Linked DNA regions of Arabidopsis thaliana. The protein of the gene in region 2 purifies or fractionates together with the protein of the main gene of each other region. This does not show direct contact. Each region holds a gene or a part of one and is shown on either strand. Other genes may lie near its edges.

The links.
Region 1: the proteins of ABCD1 (region 2) and LACS7 purify together in Arabidopsis thaliana (affinity purification with western blotting, with the first as the bait; one study listed by BioGRID). This does not show direct contact.
Region 3: the proteins of ABCD1 (region 2) and LACS6 purify together in Arabidopsis thaliana (affinity purification with western blotting, with the first as the bait; one study listed by BioGRID). This does not show direct contact.

What each region holds. Positions count from the first base shown.
Region 1 is NC_003076.8:9,740,753-9,747,626, reverse strand, and holds LACS7 (long-chain acyl-CoA synthetase 7), read right to left. Parts: upstream 5,136-6,874; 5' UTR 5,012-5,135; coding exon 4,879-5,011; intron 4,782-4,878; coding exon 4,721-4,781; intron 4,627-4,720; coding exon 4,549-4,626; intron 4,463-4,548; coding exon 4,391-4,462; intron 4,296-4,390; coding exon 4,214-4,295; intron 4,132-4,213; coding exon 4,026-4,131; intron 3,938-4,025; coding exon 3,861-3,937; intron 3,736-3,860; coding exon 3,691-3,735; intron 3,609-3,690; coding exon 3,522-3,608; intron 3,389-3,521; coding exon 3,299-3,388; intron 3,208-3,298; coding exon 3,128-3,207; intron 3,047-3,127; coding exon 2,953-3,046; intron 2,866-2,952; coding exon 2,777-2,865; intron 2,696-2,776; coding exon 2,607-2,695; intron 2,513-2,606; coding exon 2,383-2,512; intron 2,259-2,382; coding exon 2,140-2,258; intron 2,033-2,139; coding exon 1,909-2,032; intron 1,825-1,908; coding exon 1,738-1,824; intron 1,651-1,737; coding exon 1,547-1,650; intron 1,462-1,546; and 9 more. UniProt on the Arabidopsis thaliana protein: Activation of long-chain fatty acids for both synthesis of cellular lipids, and degradation via beta-oxidation. Preferentially uses palmitate, palmitoleate, oleate, linoleate and eicosenoate as substrates. Can use myristate and linolenate as substrates.
Region 2 is NC_003075.7:18,486,687-18,491,482, reverse strand, and holds the start of ABCD1 (peroxisomal ABC transporter 1), read right to left. Parts: upstream 3,050-4,796; 5' UTR 2,714-3,049; exon of another isoform or gene 2,347-2,713; 5' UTR 2,264-2,346; coding exon 2,202-2,263; intron 2,109-2,201; coding exon 1,823-2,108; intron 1,522-1,822; coding exon 1,297-1,521; intron 1,162-1,296; coding exon 964-1,161; intron 828-963; coding exon 373-827; intron 281-372; coding exon 145-280; intron 70-144; coding exon 1-69. UniProt on the Arabidopsis thaliana protein: Contributes to the transport of fatty acids and their derivatives (acyl CoAs) across the peroxisomal membrane. Provides acetate to the glyoxylate cycle in developing seedlings.
Region 3 is NC_003074.8:1,785,877-1,793,710, reverse strand, and holds LACS6 (long-chain acyl-CoA synthetase 6), read left to right. Parts: upstream 1-1,823; 5' UTR 1,824-1,964; coding exon 1,965-2,097; intron 2,098-2,180; coding exon 2,181-2,241; intron 2,242-2,323; coding exon 2,324-2,401; intron 2,402-2,494; coding exon 2,495-2,566; intron 2,567-2,660; coding exon 2,661-2,742; intron 2,743-2,825; coding exon 2,826-2,931; intron 2,932-3,014; coding exon 3,015-3,091; intron 3,092-3,314; coding exon 3,315-3,359; intron 3,360-3,464; coding exon 3,465-3,551; intron 3,552-3,938; coding exon 3,939-4,028; intron 4,029-4,181; coding exon 4,182-4,261; intron 4,262-4,425; coding exon 4,426-4,519; intron 4,520-4,671; coding exon 4,672-4,760; intron 4,761-4,845; coding exon 4,846-4,934; intron 4,935-5,116; coding exon 5,117-5,246; intron 5,247-5,454; coding exon 5,455-5,573; intron 5,574-5,675; coding exon 5,676-5,799; intron 5,800-5,889; coding exon 5,890-5,976; intron 5,977-6,204; coding exon 6,205-6,308; intron 6,309-6,390; and 9 more. Other genes in the region: AT3G05975 (Late embryogenesis abundant (LEA) hydroxyproline-rich glycoprotein family), read left to right, coding at 997-1,566. UniProt on the Arabidopsis thaliana protein: Activation of long-chain fatty acids for both synthesis of cellular lipids, and degradation via beta-oxidation. Preferentially uses palmitate, palmitoleate, oleate, linoleate and eicosenoate as substrates. Can use myristate and linolenate as substrates.

The DNA.
Region 1 (6,874 bases), on a different chromosome or scaffold from region 2:
TGATGTGTCATTCATTTGAAGAGAGTTGACCAACTTTCATATATATGATTTATAATGTTTGTTTAATAAATATATATTTTTTTTTTTGCTTTTGACAAATGTAACCAATCAGGAGAAGCCGCGTCAGATGATATTGGTATCATAAATATCACTGGGCTGATACTGATCAAGCTCATTCTAATTGTTTTGTCAATATAAAAATAATTTTTGGACTTGTGATTTTCTAGAAATACCACCCATGTACATGGTCTAATGGTCATGAGTTCGATCCGGACTTGGCATTATTTTGTGTCAAATGTTTTTAGTTTAAATGAAACTACATAATTACGTGGTATTTTAAATTATAAATATATCATCCTAGTCAGCTGTTAACGGAACAGTAACACCGTCTAGCAATTTGAGGTTTTCTACCGAATTTTCATAGTTTGTGTTGTAAATTCAAATTAAATCCAAGTTCATGTAGTTATAAGCACATAAAAAGTTCGGTATATGAAAACGATAAAGCAACATGGTTCAGGGTGGAATAGGCTGTTCTCCCTATTCTAATAAGGCTTACTATTTCAACACTAGCGTTAGCCAAAGCAAAACTAAACCAAACTGTACGGACATGCACTGGTTTCTCAAACTTATGACCACACTCATCATCCATTTCAGGATTAGGACATAGTCTGCTTCCTTTATTCTGGAAAACAGTATCAAAGAAAATTACACCATGAATCTGTTTTATTTCAAATGATCGATCTACCTCATCCTAATCCGATCTTTTAACAGTTCTACAATTACCTTTGTAATACAAAAAAAAAGAAACACTTTTAAGCAAAGCAAAAAGCATCACAGTTTAGAAGGAATGGGGTTCGAGGCTGCGATTTCCGCATACATTTTGCTAATTGCTTCTGCAAAGTAGGCTTTTGCTTGAGGTCTCTTTATCTGTTAGAAAAGTTTTACCACACATGAATTAGAGATTCCGAGGTAAGTAACAAAAATTTCATTGCGGTTTCAACTTCACATTGTTGTTTAGTTACCTTGAATGTTGGTGTGAGAAGTCCATTCTCCAAGGTGAATGGTTCTGGCACCAAAGTCACAGCCTTTGCAAACTCAAACCCTCTCAACTGTATTAAGCACAAATTGTAAATTTGTTGAGTTGCTTGGTTTTCTAATCCCATTTTAGATTATTAAGGCAGGTTTTTTTTTTTTTACCTGAGCTTCTCTTCCAAGGTCATCCATCTCAGCAAGAACAGTCTTTCGCACTCTTGGATCGTTACAGAGCTGTCCTAGATGCTCATACTACAATCATCAAGAAAAGTTTGCAACACATTGATAAATTGCTTTTAAAGTCTCTAATAAGTGATGATATCATTGAGTTAGAAGATAATACCTTGATGCCTTCTGATGCAGCCCAATCTTTCATAACTTCGGGGTCGACTGAAACTATAGCTACTAGAGAGGAATTGAAGCTATCACCTATAATAGAGACATTCTGGCTCGGTTGAGAAATAGCACAAGTGAAGAAGAAGCCATGTATAGTGTGAGTAGAGTCTTTGCTTACCGTGAATGAAACACTGCGAAACGAATCTACATTTGGTATAAACATTTTCGATCTTCTCTGGTGCTATATATTCTCCTTGCGCCAACTTAAATATGTTCTTCTTCCTGTCATGCACATTGAAGTTTTAACAAACATTTCAACTTTTTCTTCCGCAAAGAAAGAAATAACAAGAATGTTTTGATTTATAAAACCTGTCTATGATCTTGAGCCGACCACCAGGTAACCACAACCCGATATCTCCTGTGTGTAGCCAGCCATCTCCATCAAGAATTTCTCTCCTGCTCAAGTAAATGTGTCAAGACTCATGTCCACTTATCTATACATATAACTAGAGCCACTAATGATACTGGAAAATGTGTTACGTTTGTTCTTCATCTTTGTAGTAGCCTTTGAAGATGATTGGTCCTCTTACACAGATTTCACCACGTGGGTATGGTTGATCGTCTGATGTGTAATTCATTTCGGGAACATCCACAAGTTTTACCTCTAAGAAAGAAAAAACATTTTCAAAACACAAAAACCAGTCATACAATTTGGATACAAAAGTTTGGATTCTGATATATACACTGTCTTTAAAATAACACATTGCTTACCGCAAGCTGGATTAGGGGAACCGACATGGCCAGATAAATTGTCACCATCATCCATAGCACTTATGACACAAGAAGTCTCGGTCATACCATACCCTTCACGCACCGAACATCCAAAGCATCTGTTCATCACGATGATCAAAGACCATATATTCTTTGTTAGTTTAGTTTCAGATTCTTAGAAATCAGTGAGAGTGGAATCACAGAAGAAAAGTTCAAACATAGCAAACCGAAAAGAAAACTTACATTCTCAAGAAATCCATGACATCAGGTGACAAAGGAGAAGCACCAGACCCCATAAACCGAACCCGTCCACCAAGCTTTTCTTTTATTTTGTTGAACACCAGCTTGTCCCAAAATGCAGAAGGAGTCCGCCCTGAAGAAACCAAAATGAGAAAGACAGATATAATGCAGAAAGCTTGAAACACGTATACTACTTAGTTCACTTTTCTAACTGTTTCTATTAGTACCATTAATGATCGCTTGCTTCTTTGAGTTATAGGCAATTTCGAAAAGCCTTTTTTTCACAACCCCAGATGATTTTACGGCACTTGTAATGCTGTGGAGATTAAAGTCAGCACATAGAAACCACATAGTTCCACAATACGTACTTGACATGGGAAGTATAAAGTGATTTTACCCATCATATATTCGATTATATAAGCGAGGGACACTACAGAATATTGTTGGTCTTAACACAGCAAAATCATCCATCAGCTTGAAGACATCCTGTCAAAGAAGTATATATATATATACATTAGTCTGATTTCGTAAAACAAGTTAATCTCATATGTCACAAGACATGAGCTTACATACCCCCTGATAGAAACCGACAGCAACACCACCATACACCCCCATAATCTGATTTGCACGTTCATATATGTGCGCCAAAGGAAGATATGATATGTAACTATAAATAGAAGACATCTGAGTCAAAGACTCTTCCATTAAAACTATGTGTGCCACTTCTGAAGGGAAATGTTCAACTCACACATCTGAAGGAAAGAATTCTGCTTCCACACTGGAACCAGCGACATTCGCGATCAAGTTTCCATGAGTCAACACAACACCCTTGGAAACAAAGAACATATGAAATCAACTATATAGTTGAGTATTTAGCTTTAAAGTGATTTATGCACCATTTCAACCAGAAGAAACTCACCTTTGGTGTTCCTGTGGTTCCACTTGTGTAGCATATGGTTGCAATGTCTTCTGGCTTTGGAGGCGAAAATGGATGTAAGCTACTTCGACCCTACAAGATAACCGGTGGCAACATGAAGTCTCTTTCACTACCAAGCAAAACTCATTACAGGAACAGAGACATCATTCACCAAGATAACAACACATGTTTAGTACTTTAGTTAAAACCCATTGTAAAAGGCTACCTGACTCAATAGCTTTTGGTATGATACAATTGTGACTCCAGTTCCTCGAGGAAGTGATGGCAAATGCTCATCAGCCCCTCCCACCACCTAATCACAGTGCAAAACATATTTATAAGTGGGAGTATATATTTTAGCTTACAGTGAAATTACATATTGGAGAAGTACATACCACAATGAGACGAATGGATGGGATTTCCGCTAGGAAGCTTAGCAACTGCAAAGTTCCCAACAAAAAAAGACAAACACAATTCATGATCGAAAGTGTTGCAATTTAGACTATACTTGAACTGATTCTCAGAAGATAATAGCTAGCACTTTAACAAACCAAAACACACTTACAATATTCAAGGTTTGTGGTACACAAAATATAGCTTGCAGATTAGCATGATTCACCACAAACTTAACAGCGTCTGGACCTGCGTAACCAGAAGAATCATATTAAGAAGAGACAAGGCTTGCAAAACTCGAAAACTAAAGAGAAAAAATCAAATTTAGATTGGTTACCAAGTGTATCATATAAAGGAACAGAGACAAATGAATATGCTGCACAAGCATGATCCACAACCAACCACTCTGGTCTGTTAATAAAATAGAGTCCAACGCAATCTCCCTGTTCCATTAAATGAAGAAACTTTTTCTTTACAAGAACCATAGCTGCATAAGTTTTACATTCAAAGTAGAGTGAAACATACTTGGTTAACTCCATGAAACAAGAGTCCTGAACCAATGGCTTGTCGCTCAGACGCTGCTTCTCCATATGTCATCCATGAATACCTTCATAAAAACATATCACAGAAACATAAAAACCTACCTCAGCTCAAAACTCCATAGCGAAAATCTCAAAGCAAAAGAACAGCTTTAAAACTCACTCTCCAATGGTTCCATCGGACCGAACTCGTGTACCAAGATACTTGTTTTCAGCATATGTTTCAACAGCATGTCTGATTCCACAAAAACGTAATGCCAGTCACAAACTAAAGCCAATCAATTTAAAACAACCTCAAAAGAAGTAATCATCAAAACATACACAAAATTGTCATGTAAAGTCCCGATTTCAGGATGATCCGGGAACCTACTAACGAGTTTCGTAGGCGATCTTTTAGATCTGTCACAGCCAAAAAAAAACAGAGATTCATAATCACACACACTTATCAAAAAACCAAACGTAACAACAAAGAAAGGACTGGTTTTTTAAAAACCTGTAGACATTCCATTTTCCAGTATCAAGCTTTTCTGGAAGCACAACACTGTAGCTATCCTCTAGAGAAAACAATCCAAAGCTCTTAAAAACTCAAGAAACAGAGAAAATTTCAAATTATGGAGAGACTAACTTTCAGGTAATTTTCAGGTGCTTTACCTTTAAAGAAAGGTGAAGCAGAAGAAGCGGTGGCGTTGAGGAATAGAGATGATGATTGATCGTTGGTCGGAGAAGTATCGATGTGAGATCGAATGGTTTCGAGACGACGTTGTTCCGGCGAAGCAAATTCCATCTTTTCTTCTTTCTTCAGAAAAAATGTCTTCAGGAATATACGAAATAAACCGATTAATTACCATTTTATAAAAATTCAACTTTAAAACAATGACGTCACAAATCTACTAGTATAGTAATAAAATTATGAAAAGTCAATTGAAAACAATTTTTTAGCTCACAAATCTACTATAGAAGAAAAGGAATAAAATCTTTGAATTATGAAAATGAGCATAAATATGTAAAACTATTGTGTGATGCTACGGCTATAAAATTCCATAAACAACATATTTTGGATAGGCGTTAATCATGTTTTCCATTTTTTTTTTAACACCTCACCAAAAACGCCTCATTTCACTAAAGTAATGTACTTTTGTTTCTCACATGTATTTTGCTTACGTCAAAATAAGGCACACTTCCCTATGTGGATAATTTACCATTTTTTTCAATAAAATTATTATTTGATCTTTTACCAACAAATGTTCATGTTGGTTATTATTGTAGACCATGAAACCTGTTGTTTTTGGCATTGCCAGAAGCAATAACCTGAATCTTTAAGTACCAATGTAGACTGGTTATGCTGTTTAAGTTCCCAGTTAAGTTCGGCTGCAACACAGAAGATGAACCAAATTCTCAAAAACTAGGCAAACGGAAAGATCTCCATCATAGTTTAAGTAACACAAGAGAATACATTGTGCCAACCTTGGTTACAGAACTTGTATGCTTTTAATTTTAGGGTAATTTGCAGGCCACACCCTTTGATCATGTTTTATTTTTAAGGACTGACAAAGTGAAAGGTGGTTTTCACGTTTTGTCTTTTCAGCTGAAATTTGATCATTTTGCCCTTGCTGCTACAGCAGAGAAACTGTTGAATGTACGGTTTAGTTAGTCAGGTTTAGTTAGGTATACTGTTCCGGTTTAATTGGAATTATTTTTGTTTCACGTTGAGGAGTACGACTGTACAGTTATAAGCTAGGTTGCATGGAAACTCGCTCTGAGGTGCGTTTCTCGTTTCCGAAACGTTTCGGAAACGGAAACTCTCCGGAAACACGAAAAACATCACGGAAACACGTTTCCTAAAAATCTAGGTTTGAAAACACGATGGAAACTTACGTTTCCAAAATAGAAACTCACGTTTCCGAAATAGACATACGACAAATTTTTTTTATTGACTTTAAAAATTTAATAACTAAAATTGAAAATATTAAAATTATTAATACATATAACTAATTTTGGAAGACTTTGAGTTTTAAGATCTTTTTTTGTTAAACCAGATTTGAAAAGAGGTTTATATTATCTTTGATAAAACTAATGAAAATGTTGGTCTAAATTAACTATTTGAACTTGAACCTTTTAATTTTTATCTTTTAGAATTTTAGTTTATTTATTTAATATTGATATTTTGGACTTGTATTATTTAAACCATTTTTTCTTTAATATAGTTTTATGTTAATGTTATATATATATATATATAATGTTATATATATATATATAATGTTATATATATATATATAATGTTATTTATATATATATATATGTATAAATGTGTATACGTTTCCAAAACGTTTCCAATCCCTAATTTTAAGAAAAAATTGTTTCCTGTTTCCGAAACGTTTCGTATCCGCGTTTCCGTTTCCGTTTCCGTTTCCATGCAACATAGGTTATAAGGGATATTTTTTCCATTAAAAACGAAATGACATCAACATTTAATGCCCAAAAAGTTTAGACGTGACTCTTGTTATAATTAATACAAAATCATTATTACATGTTATAATATTATAAAATTATTGATAATAATTGTTGAGTTAAAGATGAACCCAGGAACAAACATTAATTGCGAACAAACATTGATGCTCAAGAAGTGTTGATCTTGTTTATTTACGAA
Region 2 (4,796 bases):
AAGATTAGACCCTTGCTCAACTCGAAGGGTGAGATCCTCCACCAAAACATTTCCGGTTGGAGTAACAACCTAGAGTGTGTTAAGAAACATTAAGAACACGACATTTTGGAAAGGATTACAGTAACATGAATCTATTCCAACTACCTTGACATCGGAAAACTCTACATAATTAGCTTCACTTAGATAATTTCTGCTTCTATTTCTCTGGAAAGACGATTTATCATCACCACTGAGTTCTCTTGAGACAGCCATCAACTCATGGATTCGGTCAGCATAACCACTGCCGGAAGCAACAACATTCCAATAATTAGAAACAGCTAAACAGTATTCACCATTTAAGCGTCTGACATGAGATCCAACATAAAGCATTACCTGAGTCGGTTGAGCCGCCTGGAACTTATAGAAAGTGTTCCCAACGCCTGAAAGAGAGATATAATGACACTAGTGTGATATCTTATATTGCTAAGCATCTCAGCTCTTCCTAAGGTCGAGTCGTCAGGTCTTAGATGCCCAGAGAAGAATGGTTCGATAATCAGAATAACTGCAACTGTGGCCCCAAGATACTTCAGCAGAAAATCTTGGATCATACCAAACCACCAGTGATCATGAAGCACGTGACTCATATGGCTAACAAGATTCTTGAACTTTTGTTGTATATGAGATTCTTCCCTGGTTTCCCCACCATAGAATGCTATGCTTTCCGAATGAGTCCTTAAGCGTGAATGAAGTTGCCGGTACTCTCCTTCTAACTGCTGTTCCTTGGACATCAATTTCCCAAAAGAAGGAGAAAAGTTTCTTATCGCCGTCCCAGCCCCCAGTACATAGGCCTACACAACAATTGTATAGGTTAGTTTATAGATACCAGACCGAAAGAATTGTACTGTGAACGGATACAAGGAAAAGCAGCATAAATGGCCCAACATAAGGTCAATCTTGAAGTATAGAAGATTAAACATGAATCACCAGTATCCAGAAGATGTATTTTGGACTAGCATATGAACACAGGCGCCATGCATACAAAATTCCATCAGTAACCGCCGTCAAATCATCCAGTATAAGATCGCTCAACTCTGAGGAGAATCTTGGTACATCGCTGGCAATTCTTTGTTCAGGGTGCGTAATCCGACCATCCACGTGTGATATTTTGTAATATACCATATTCTGAAAACAACAATTAAAACTGAGTGAAGAGATATCCAGCAGTCTGAAGTATACTCGATACTCTCACTAGTCAAAAACACTCGTATCTAAAGAAATAGTAAACAATTGAATGGCAGAAGAGATGGCAGTTGCTACCTCAAAATAGTGTGAATGGATAATCTTGGTCAATATCTTTCTGAATCGCAAACTCAATGCCCCAGTTATGTACTTTGAAGTAGAGTGCAATGTTGATAGCATGAAACACAACATAATATTCTCGGAGATGAGCCGTAGAAACAGTGGCGCACGCCTTAAGAAAGCAGCACGGAAAAGGAAACCTTGCACTTTTGCCAATCTATTGCTCAAAGCTGTTCTGAAAACCTACAAGTTATAGAATAACAGATTGGAAAGAGTACTAGTCCCGCATAAGTAAGAGAAGTAACCAGACTTTTCCCGACTATTGGCCGTAAAGTTAGATTGGTGTTTCTTTCAGCTAAAAAGAGAGACACCCGGTATTCCATAACAATAAAGCAACGGTTCGCAATTGTGAATTTCCATGAATATCTACAGGACTTTGCAACAGCACGAGATCAAACTTAAACAACCAGACAGAAAATCTATCTGACTTGGGCAAAAACATAAAACAAAAGTAAAAACTTATTAATTAAGAGGAAATGCATACCACGGTGGCGACTAGTGCCAAAAGATCCCTGGCACCCATTTTTCCCATCTGAGAGAGAAGAATAGCAGTCAGAACCTGAAGAGACTTCAATCCTCCTCCTTTCTTCTTTTTCGTGGTTATCTTTGCATTTTGATCAGTTGCAGTCAGCTTTTCCAAAGTCTCATCATCATCACTCTGACCATTGCAAAGACGCGAAGAATCAGGCCTCCGGGAAGCGACCCTTGATTTCAGGTAAACAGCAGTTCCACCAGCAGCTACAATCCCAGCCGCAAGCAGTATAGATTTCCTAAAGAATGAAACAGAGAAAGATGAAATCTGAGCCCAAACGAACAAAAAAAACTTCCATCTAGAATACAATGAAGAGCAAGGAAATGGTTACCGTCTTGACGCTACAAGACCCCGACCCCGCTCAGTTAACTGCAATAGTTGAAGTGAAGGCATGGCCTGGAATTGAGTATATTTTCCAACCAACGATTAATCAGAACCAAAACTGGTTTCTTCTTGACAACAAGTGTCCAAAACACCTGAAGTAATACCAAAACTCCAAGGTTATGAATATTAGAACAACCAAATTATAACAAATCTAAAGCAAAGAAAAAAAACGTGTAACCGTTGAAATTAATGCAAAAAATGTGAATTACGCCTAAAGTAAGATTCTCACACTTTTGGATCAAGAAGAAAAACAATGAAAATGATTCATGTATAGTAACACGCGTAATTAGAATCCTAACACAGACAAAAATTGTTTAACAACCCAGCAAATTTGATCCTGATTACATACATAAGAAAGCGCAAAATCTAGATTCGTAAATCAAAAAACAAAACAAACCGATAAAAGCTTAGACAATTGCAAAAAAGCTTATGCAATTAAACAAATCCATGACGAATTACCTCAGCATGAGAGATTCGACCAAGGAGTGTCTCCGGGAGGGATAAACGAAACAGAAGCTAAATATAAAAAAAAAACTCGAGAAATCGGAAATCGTAACAACAACAACAACCACTTAGCTAGAATTCTAGACCATGTGAATCTCAACGCCGAGGAAATTAATTCCGACTACGCCACCAACGGCAACGAGACGTACTAGTCCACCGTGACGGAACTCCCCCAAATCGAGAGATAGAGATAGAGAGAGAGAGAGAGAACGAGAGAAAGTGAGAGCCGAAACTTGGGAAGAGGAGAAGATGATGACGCTTATTTTACACGTGCGAACATATTCACTCGTGCCATTTTTTACTTTTCTTCTATTTTTATACCATCTTCTTGTCTAGTACTAATTGATTTCGTTACGAATGCTATCAGATATTTTTACCTTATTTTTTAGATTTTTTACTCAGGTAACTCTAGCCACCGTTTCATTCTCGTTAAAAAAAATGTTAACGCTGTACTGTAAAAATAAATAAAATATCTTAGCCTAGTTGGTAATGTATCAAACTATCAATTGTTTCTTTTTTCTTATTAAAAAACTTGGTACTAAAACCATGTATAGACAGATTTATTTCCTTTATGTATAATTTGAATACAAATAGTACTATGTATAGAAGTGTCGAGTCCTATGGACATACACTGCTATCCTTCCATTGGTAAGTTTGTTTTTTCTAATTGAGGAAATTGTGATTGGTCTGTAAACTTAAATATATGATAGACATATTAGCAATAAAATCATGGATTGTTATTTCATGTTTGGAAAAAAAGTTGAAATTCAAACACGATAATATACAAGGACATTTGAAATTTGCACGAATTATTGAGTCATCAGATATGTGAAATAAAATGGTTGTTAAAGATTGTTCACTAAAAGAGTTTAATTTGGTAAAGTTAAAAGTCAATACTTTTCACAAATTGATATTTAAGGTGTGAATTTTGTGAAGTGGGAAAAGTGCAAATTGTACACCGCATGATTGAAGCACACAAATCAATGTTGTGATACTGTGATGTCTTCCTACTTTGTTTCTGATAAGTACATATTACATCACTCCTTTCGCCCAACACAATCCGTATACTAAACCAAAATGGGCCTTAACTTGATTGAAACCCAATACAAAAAAATGTTATGGGCATTTTTGTTCACGGGTCTTTAAACTGGTTGATCTGGTGAATTATCACAGCACACAATAAATTTAGGAATTCACAATTGAATAATGTACATGTGATACCAAAAGTTGAATGAAACGTTTTTATACAAGTGCCGAGTTTCTAAGTGACAAGATTGACAAAATAAGTAGGCTATTTATGACATTTGGGCATTGCCTACATTTAGAAACTTTTTCCTCGATTTTTTTATTTGGCTAATTGTGCTTATAAATTTCTATCGTCGTGATAGTTGTGCATGTAATTTCTATGATTTGACAAAAAAAAAAAATAATAATAAAATTGTAAAATAGATTCAAAGTTGGAGGAACTCTATTTTCAGTTTCATAATACACACGTCACGTCATAAAGTTAAAACAACATTCCGGCACAATATGAGGTGAGGTGATGGGCCTTGAGAAATGAGTGGCCCATACAACAACACGTTAGGACACAAAAGCCCCATTTTTCTCACCATACGCCCCACACTCAATCGCCAATCCACCGACACAAGTCAATAAAACACTACAGCACCCAGTTCCGTCGGTAACTCCTTCAATGACCGAAATGCCCCATCCTCACGAAAGTCGTCGACTCTACGATTCCGTAGACCCCACCTTATTTAATTTTTGACTTCTCATATTTTTTTTATTTCAAACAGAAACATTTAATTTTCGCGGTTATCAAGAAAAACATTTAATTAATTCATTCTTCTCGCCGTCCACATTTCACAACATATTTGTAATTTTTACAAAGAAAAAAAAGAGACAATTATAATGAGATTATGAAATTTTATTCCACATTTATCGATTTATTATAAATACAATTGAAGTTTTTAAAAAAAGTTTCCAACCATCCACCAGTAATTGTTCTTTCTATTGCATTTCTCAGCTAAAATTTTGC
Region 3 (7,834 bases), on a different chromosome or scaffold from region 2:
ATTCGAATTGAAACCATGTTTTTTATAAAAAAATTCGAATTACAACATAGCGAATATAATAGTAAAACAAACAATTTAATTAAACATATTTTTTCTTTTATGTAATCCATTTAAATGTTCAATTGAATCCCAGTAGTCATTTTCCACAAGAACAAGAATTAGAGGACCAAAAGATGATATGCATTCCATGGTGTCTCAAAACAAATGGGCCTTTAGTTATAATGCCCACTTGTCTCTCCTACAATATATGGGCAGCACAGAACATTAGCAAGTGGCCGCTTAACATTAAAAGAAAAAAAACCAACTCAACGACCCCGTTCAACGATTTCATCTTCGTTCTTTAATTTATGAAAATTTACTTAAGATAAACAATTTAGTATAACATTTTTTTTATATTAATTAGGTTTTTTAATTTTGTAAGATCTTGAAATTTATTAGAACAATTTAAGAGTATATATAATGTAGAAACTGGTATGATAATACCCATATGTGACCAAATAAATAAAAATTTGATACCATTTGAACTAAAAACATTACAATTTAACTTATATGGATCTGATATGGAATATGAATACATATAAAAGCAAAAAATCTTAAAGTAATCAACGAGTCAAACTTTAGGTGGCTATATGATCAATATAAAAAAAAGGTAGAAGAAAAAGAAGAAAAAATCTTTTAGAAAAAAATAAAACTTTTAAGTGGCTATGTTTTGAGAGAAATAAATATTCAGCTAAGGAACCATATCTGCCAAATTAATCAAGTTTGACTTAACAATAACATGTGTCCAAAGTAAAACAATAACAATAACCAAAAAAAAAACATCCGCCTAATTACTGCCATAACCCATAAATGATAAAATGAATGACAGATTGTAATCCGTTATGAACAGCTCAATGTCTTCACACTCCTTCTTCTTTATTTATCCATCTTTCTATGCATTTCTGTAAAACCTAAACATTTACATACAAAACTTAATCCACATAAAATATTATAACCATGTCCAAGCGACGCATTTGCTGCATAGTTTCCGGAATCATCTTTGTCCTCTTCGTAATCTTCATGACCGCTTTGATCCTTGCACAAGTGTTCAAACCAAAACATCCGATACTACAAACCGTCTCTTCAACTGTTGATGGCATATCTACAAATATATCACTACCATACGAGGTCCAACTAAATTTCACTCTTACGCTGGAGATGCTGCTCAAGAATCCTAACGTTGCGGATTTTGAATACAAGACAGTGGAAAACTTGGTTTATTACAGGGATACACTAGTCGGAAATCTCACACTTCCTTCGAGCACATTACCTGCCAAAGGTTCAGTGCTTTTGCCATGTCCTCTATTTCTCCAGCTCGATAAATTTGTCGCGAATTTAGGTGATATCGTGCAAGATGTATTGCATGGAAAAATTGTGATGGAGACAAGAGCAAAAATGCCAGGAAAAATCACTTTGTTGGGAATCTTTAAGATACCTTTGGATTCAATATCGCATTGCAATCTCGTACTCGGCTTTCCTTCAATGGTAGTGGAGGACCAAGTGTGTGATCTCAAAACTAAGCTGTAAATAGTTTTTTCAGGTAAACATTTAGGCTTAAGAGAGCAGTTTAATTCTAGCTAGTTTCCTGTAATAATAAAGATTGTAGTGCTCTTGATCGCTGTTCTTTAATCAACTCCATTTTTGTGAGTTCTTGAAATTAAATGTATTCCTTTGAATTTGAAATAATGAATTTGATTCAAAAATCTGAATTATTTTATTTTTACCTCCATTTGAAAAAAGGAAAAATAGTGTATTATTATTATTATTATTTTATGACAAATAATTTGGAGAAGACTTGAAAACACGAAATCAACGGATAGCGACATCATGAAACAGAGTTAGAAAAGCGTGCCTCCTTTTTTTAGTATCTATCTTTCTCTCTTTCGGATCATTCTCTCCTCTGATTCCGAATCGGGTAAATTATTATGGATTCTTCTTCTTCGTCTTCCTCCGCCGCCGCACGCCGCCGTATCAACGCTATCCACTCTCACCTCGTCACCTCTTCTCGCTCTTCCCCTCTCCTCCGCTCCAATCCCACCGCCGGCGAGTTCTGTCTTGGTCCGTATTTCCTCATCTCTCTCTCTGATCTATACTAGTAGCTTCCTCTCGCTGCTGATTACTTGTCTTCTGATCGCAATCAGATAATGGCTATAGTGTTGTTCTTCCCGAGAAACTGAATACTGGCAGTTGGAACGTCTACAGGTTCCTTACGCTTCCTCTTCTTCTCTCCTTGTCTCCATTCCCTCTCTTAATATTTGTTTTTGTTTTGAATTCAATTTTTCAGATCTGCAAAATCTCCGTTCAAGCTCGTTAGCAGATTCCCAGATCATCCTGACATCGCTACTCTCCATGACAATTTTGAGTATGAATCAGAGTCTCCCGAAAGCTGATCATCTCTTCTATATCAATTCTTTAGTCATCTCTCTGATTGATACTGTTCTTGGGGTCTATGTAGGCATGCTGTTCATGATTTTCGAGATTACAAGTATTTAGGAACTCGTGTTCGTGTCGACGGAACTGTTGGAGAGTGAGCTCCTAACTTACTCAATCTATGTGTATCTGCAAGAAAGTACTTTCCTTGAAGCTAGTTTTCTTATGTGACTCTGTTTTGTTTTTTTCAGCTACAAATGGATGACATATGGAGAAGCTGGTACAGCAAGAACTGCTTTAGGTTCTGGTTTGGTTCATCACGGAATCCCCATGGTAAATTATTGGATTCTTACTCTCCTTCCTGATTGATTTTTAAGTTTGCAGCTAGACTCAAGTCTCTGTTTTTCTTCTACCAGGGATCTTCTGTTGGAATTTACTTCATCAATCGCCCAGAGTGGCTCATTGTTGATCATGCTTGTTCTTCTTATTCTTATGTGTCTGTTCCTTTGTATGATACTCTTGGTAAGTATCTGGTTGGTTCGGCGTATTATTTCCATTTCACAATTCGTGGGGTGTTCTAATTCTGCTCTTTGTTTTTGCTCAAGGTCCTGATGCTGTGAAATTTATTGTCAATCATGCAACTGTGCAAGCCATATTTTGTGTGGCAGAGACTTTAAACTCTGTAAGTTCTGTCAATCTCCTGCTTTAATTTCCTTCTCTTTTTTAAAAAATTGCTTACTTGGATGATAGTGAGAAAAAAAAAACAACAACCTTTTTTAGCCCTTACTCAAATGATGTGTATGTTGCTGACTGTTTTCTTTAAGTGCTTGTACTTTTGCTTAATAATCGTTTTTCTGATTTCTTTTTGCTTGCTTTCCTGCTTGATTTACTGCTGGAGATTTCAGTTACTTAGCTGTTTGTCTGAGATGCCAAGTGTACGCCTGGTGGTGGTATGAAGAAAACTCATCTTTTGTTATTCTTTTGAGGATTATGACTACAGTTTCCAAATTAATTTTGTCTTCTCTCTGTTCGTGATACTTCTCATGACCAAGTAGGTTGTTGGAGGGTTAATTGAATCTTTACCCTCGCTTCCCTCATCATCAGGAGTGAAAGTTGTATCCTATTCGGTGTTACTGAATCAGGTACTTGTATGATTTTGTAATTCAATATCCGTTTTCTGAATATAAACAGGATTAAGGACATTCTATCATTTAAGATATTGCAAGTTCTTACCAGTGCTATTATGAGTCTTATCCTGTTTATTACCAACCTAGGGTTCATCAACATTTATACATAACTGGGTACATATTAGTCATATATACACAAGTGTACTTCCACATCATTACGCTTTTACCTATAACTCAATTTTTTTTTTTTATATCAGGACTACTTCTACACCTTTCCCATATATCCATAATAGTTTTCTCATTGAGATAATATAGTCACCCAGTATCTTTCTCGCTGATAGCAGCACAGTTGTGGTGGTACATGTTGGTTTCATTGTTTTCTGACCAACAAATTTGTTTCAGGGTCGTAGTAACCCTCAGCGATTTTTTCCACCAAAACCCGATGATGTTGCAACCATATGCTATACAAGCGGAACAACTGGGACACCCAAGGTTTTACTTACTTGAAATGTTATCTTCATTTAGGGTAGTACTGTTCTTTATTTCATATTTACCCTGACTATAGCATCTAACTTACTGTTTATTTTATCCTGTATCCCTCATTCCTCCCTTGCCTGCTCTTCTTCTGGATGAAATATGTTAAAGGGAGTCGTATTAACTCATGCAAACTTGATTGCCAATGTTGCTGGCTCCAGCTTTAGTGTGAAGTTTTTCTCTTCAGATGTGTAAGCGCTTTACTTCTTTCTACTAATGGTTAAACATTTTCTGTGTTCTTCTTTGTATCTATTGCTACATGTATCTTAATTCTTAAAATTTCCATTCTTAAGTGGTCTTTGTTTCAGATAGACTATAAGTAACTAATTTTGTCAAAATTTCTTCTACTTTCCAGTTACATTTCGTATCTTCCACTTGCTCACATTTACGAACGAGCTAATCAGATCCTAACAGTGTACTTTGGAGTTGCTGTTGGATTCTACCAAGGGGTTAGAAACTGAACCTTCTCCTTTTAGGTTGCATTAAGTAACCATCATAGACCTATACACCTGTGATCTGGTCTTTGCTTATACTCTTCCTTCACTCTCAAACCATTTTCTATTGATTTGATTGGACGAACCACTTGCAAATTTTTCTGCAGGACAATATGAAACTACTGGATGATTTGGCTGCTCTGAGACCTACTGTATTTAGCAGTGTCCCTCGATTATACAATAGAATATATGCTGGGTAATATAATGGCTTTGGTTTGTTGATATGCGCTCTCTGCTGATTTTGAGAATCCACTGAATTAATGTAAAATTCTTGTTCCCAGTATCATTAATGCAGTAAAAACCTCTGGTGGTCTGAAAGAGAGACTCTTCAATGCTGCCTATAATGCAAAGAAGCAGGCTCTCTTGAATGGTATGTCCTGTCATACTTATTTACATTAAAATCAGTCTATGCAATTCTGTAGCTTTATTTTGTAATTTCTGACACAGATAAGGACTTTGATTACTGTCGAGTTCTAAGAGATGATAAAAAGTAAAAGATCCTTTATACAGTTTTTGGGTTTGATTTCCTTTGTATGGGTACTGTTGGTTCAGGAAAGAGTGCTTCTCCCATATGGGACAGGTTGGTATTTAATAAAATAAAGGACAGACTTGGAGGGCGGGTTCGTTTTATGACGTCTGGTGCTTCACCTCTCTCTCCTGAAGTGATGGAATTTTTGAAAGTGTAAGTTTATTGCTATTGAAATATTGTGTTCTGTCATATTATACAATAGACTTCATCCTCAAGAATGAACACTTTTCAGTCCCCACCAATCCCTCTCTCTCACTAGCTCATGCATAATTACAGTAGCTTTGGTTCCACATAACTTTTGTACATTAGCTTGTGATTTTCTTTTCCCTCTTGATTTAATCTTGTCATATGAATACTCCAGATGCTTTGGAGGAAGGGTAACAGAGGGATATGGAATGACTGAAACATCTTGTGTTATAAGTGGAATGGACGAGGGTGATAACCTCACTGGACATGTTGGCTCTCCTAATCCAGCTTGTGGTGAGCTTTTTACTGACTCTGCGATATGATAAGTAGAGTAATTTGGAACTAAATATCCATTTTAAATTGCTTTGGGATTTAATATGCATTTCTATATTTCAGAAGTAAAGCTTGTGGATGTCCCAGAAATGAACTATACATCAGCGGATCAGCCCCATCCCCGTGGCGAAATATGTGTTAGGGGTCCTATCATTTTTACAGGCTATTACAAAGATGAAATTCAAACGTATAAACACCTACTGCATTGGAAATTCCTCTTTCACTAACCAAAGTGTACCAAAAGTTTAATTATTTCAGTAAAACGTATTATTTTCAGGAAAGAGGTGATTGATGAAGATGGATGGCTTCACACTGGAGATATAGGTCTGTGGCTGCCGGGAGGACGTCTAAAAATTATTGACAGGTTTTCCAAAAAATCACTTGATTGTTATCAGCTGTTTCTTCACTAAAATCAAATCTCTTGGCTCACAAAGAATAAGCCTACTTCTTACTGATGATACAAACACTAAGAAATAACATCTGCAAAAGTCTAGGGAGTGCAAAGCTCTAGTCTTGGGTTACATTTTGGGGACTTGTTGGTATCTTTTGAATCGCGAATCATCTGAGTGAAATTTTCTGATCCTTTGAATAGAAAGAAGAACATCTTCAAATTGGCGCAGGGGGAGTATATAGCTCCAGAGAAAATTGAAAACGTCTATGCCAAATGCAAATTTGTGGGCCAGTGCTTCATATATGGTATAGTAAACAATTATAGTAAATTGTTTTGTATAACATTTTGCTTTATCCTTTCCCCATCTCACCTGTTACCAATTTTCAGGTGATAGCTTTAATTCATCATTGGTAGCTGTTGTATCGGTTGATCCAGATGTGCTGAAAAGCTGGGCAGCTTCAGAAGGCATTAAGGTGATATAACTTACGTCACCAAATTCTCTAAATGTAACATTAAAAAACTAACTTTATACCACTTTGCTGAATGTAGGGAGGAGATCTGAGAGAATTGTGTAATAATCCGAGAGTGAAAGCAGCAGTACTATCTGACATGGACACTGTTGGAAGAGAAGCTCAGGCAATACATCTCAGAAAACAATTTTCTGTATATCAGTTAGTTACTATTCTCAAAAACATGATGATTGATTTGGATGATAAAAATGTTTGGTGCAGTTGAGAGGCTTCGAGTTTGCAAAGGCTGTGACATTGGTGCTGGAACCATTTACTCTGGAAAATGGCTTGTTGACTCCGACGTTCAAGGTAAATTTCTTATATGAATATACTTCACTCAAACTAGCTTCAAAAGGTAAATTCTATCTTAGTTAGTGGAAAGGTTTGTTCGACATGGTATATGTTCAGATCGATTTACTCAAATTGAAAATGCCTAGTTCCTACTCCTATAATTAGTGTGGTTTAGTAAACATCATGCTGTCTCTCTTTTAAAATCGGTAAAAAAAGCATATCTGGATTGGATGTGGGATAATTAGCAAAACCAATTGTGAAAATGGATTGAGGCAAATGGATTTGATTGAATATTGCAGATTAAGAGACCACAAGCAAAGGAATATTTCGCAGAAGCAATAACAAACATGTACAAGGAGCTTGGTGCTTCTGATCCCTCTGCTAATAGAGGTTTGTGATGATGGTATAATCGTGTGATTAATAAAAAGCCTACGCAAAAGTTGTTTCTCCCACAAATTGTATTCTTTTTTGTTTTCTTGCTACATATTTATTGAATAGTAAAGGTAATAAAGGTGCTACATTACATTAATGAAACTTTCTTACAGTACAATGTTTTCCCTCTGTAATAAAAAGGCAAAACATTCCCAATTCTGTTTTATTGCGGATTCTTCGGCCTACCACGAAACGACGATCTCTGTCCGTACGCTGAGATCTATATGACAATATCTTTATGTTCGTATCCAAAACCCGAAACTACACATCCAAATAGATTATGTGCTTTGGATAAAAACCCAATCGTAAATGTTTAAAAGTATTCGATTTTGGAGTTTTTTCGGTTTAGGTATTGGAACAATCAACTTTAAAGGAACTATAGTCTGCGTAGCTTTAGTTCAGTAATATTTTAGCTTGGTCTTGATTTTACATATGTATTAATGTATAATTAGGTAAATCCGACTTTTGTTCCAAAAAAAAAAAAAAAAGCTAAATCCGACCATGTCTAGATTAAAAAATAATACGAAAAGGTTAAAAGAAAGGCAAAATATCAAATTTCATAGAGAAATATAAAAAGATGTGATATGATTGAATCATTT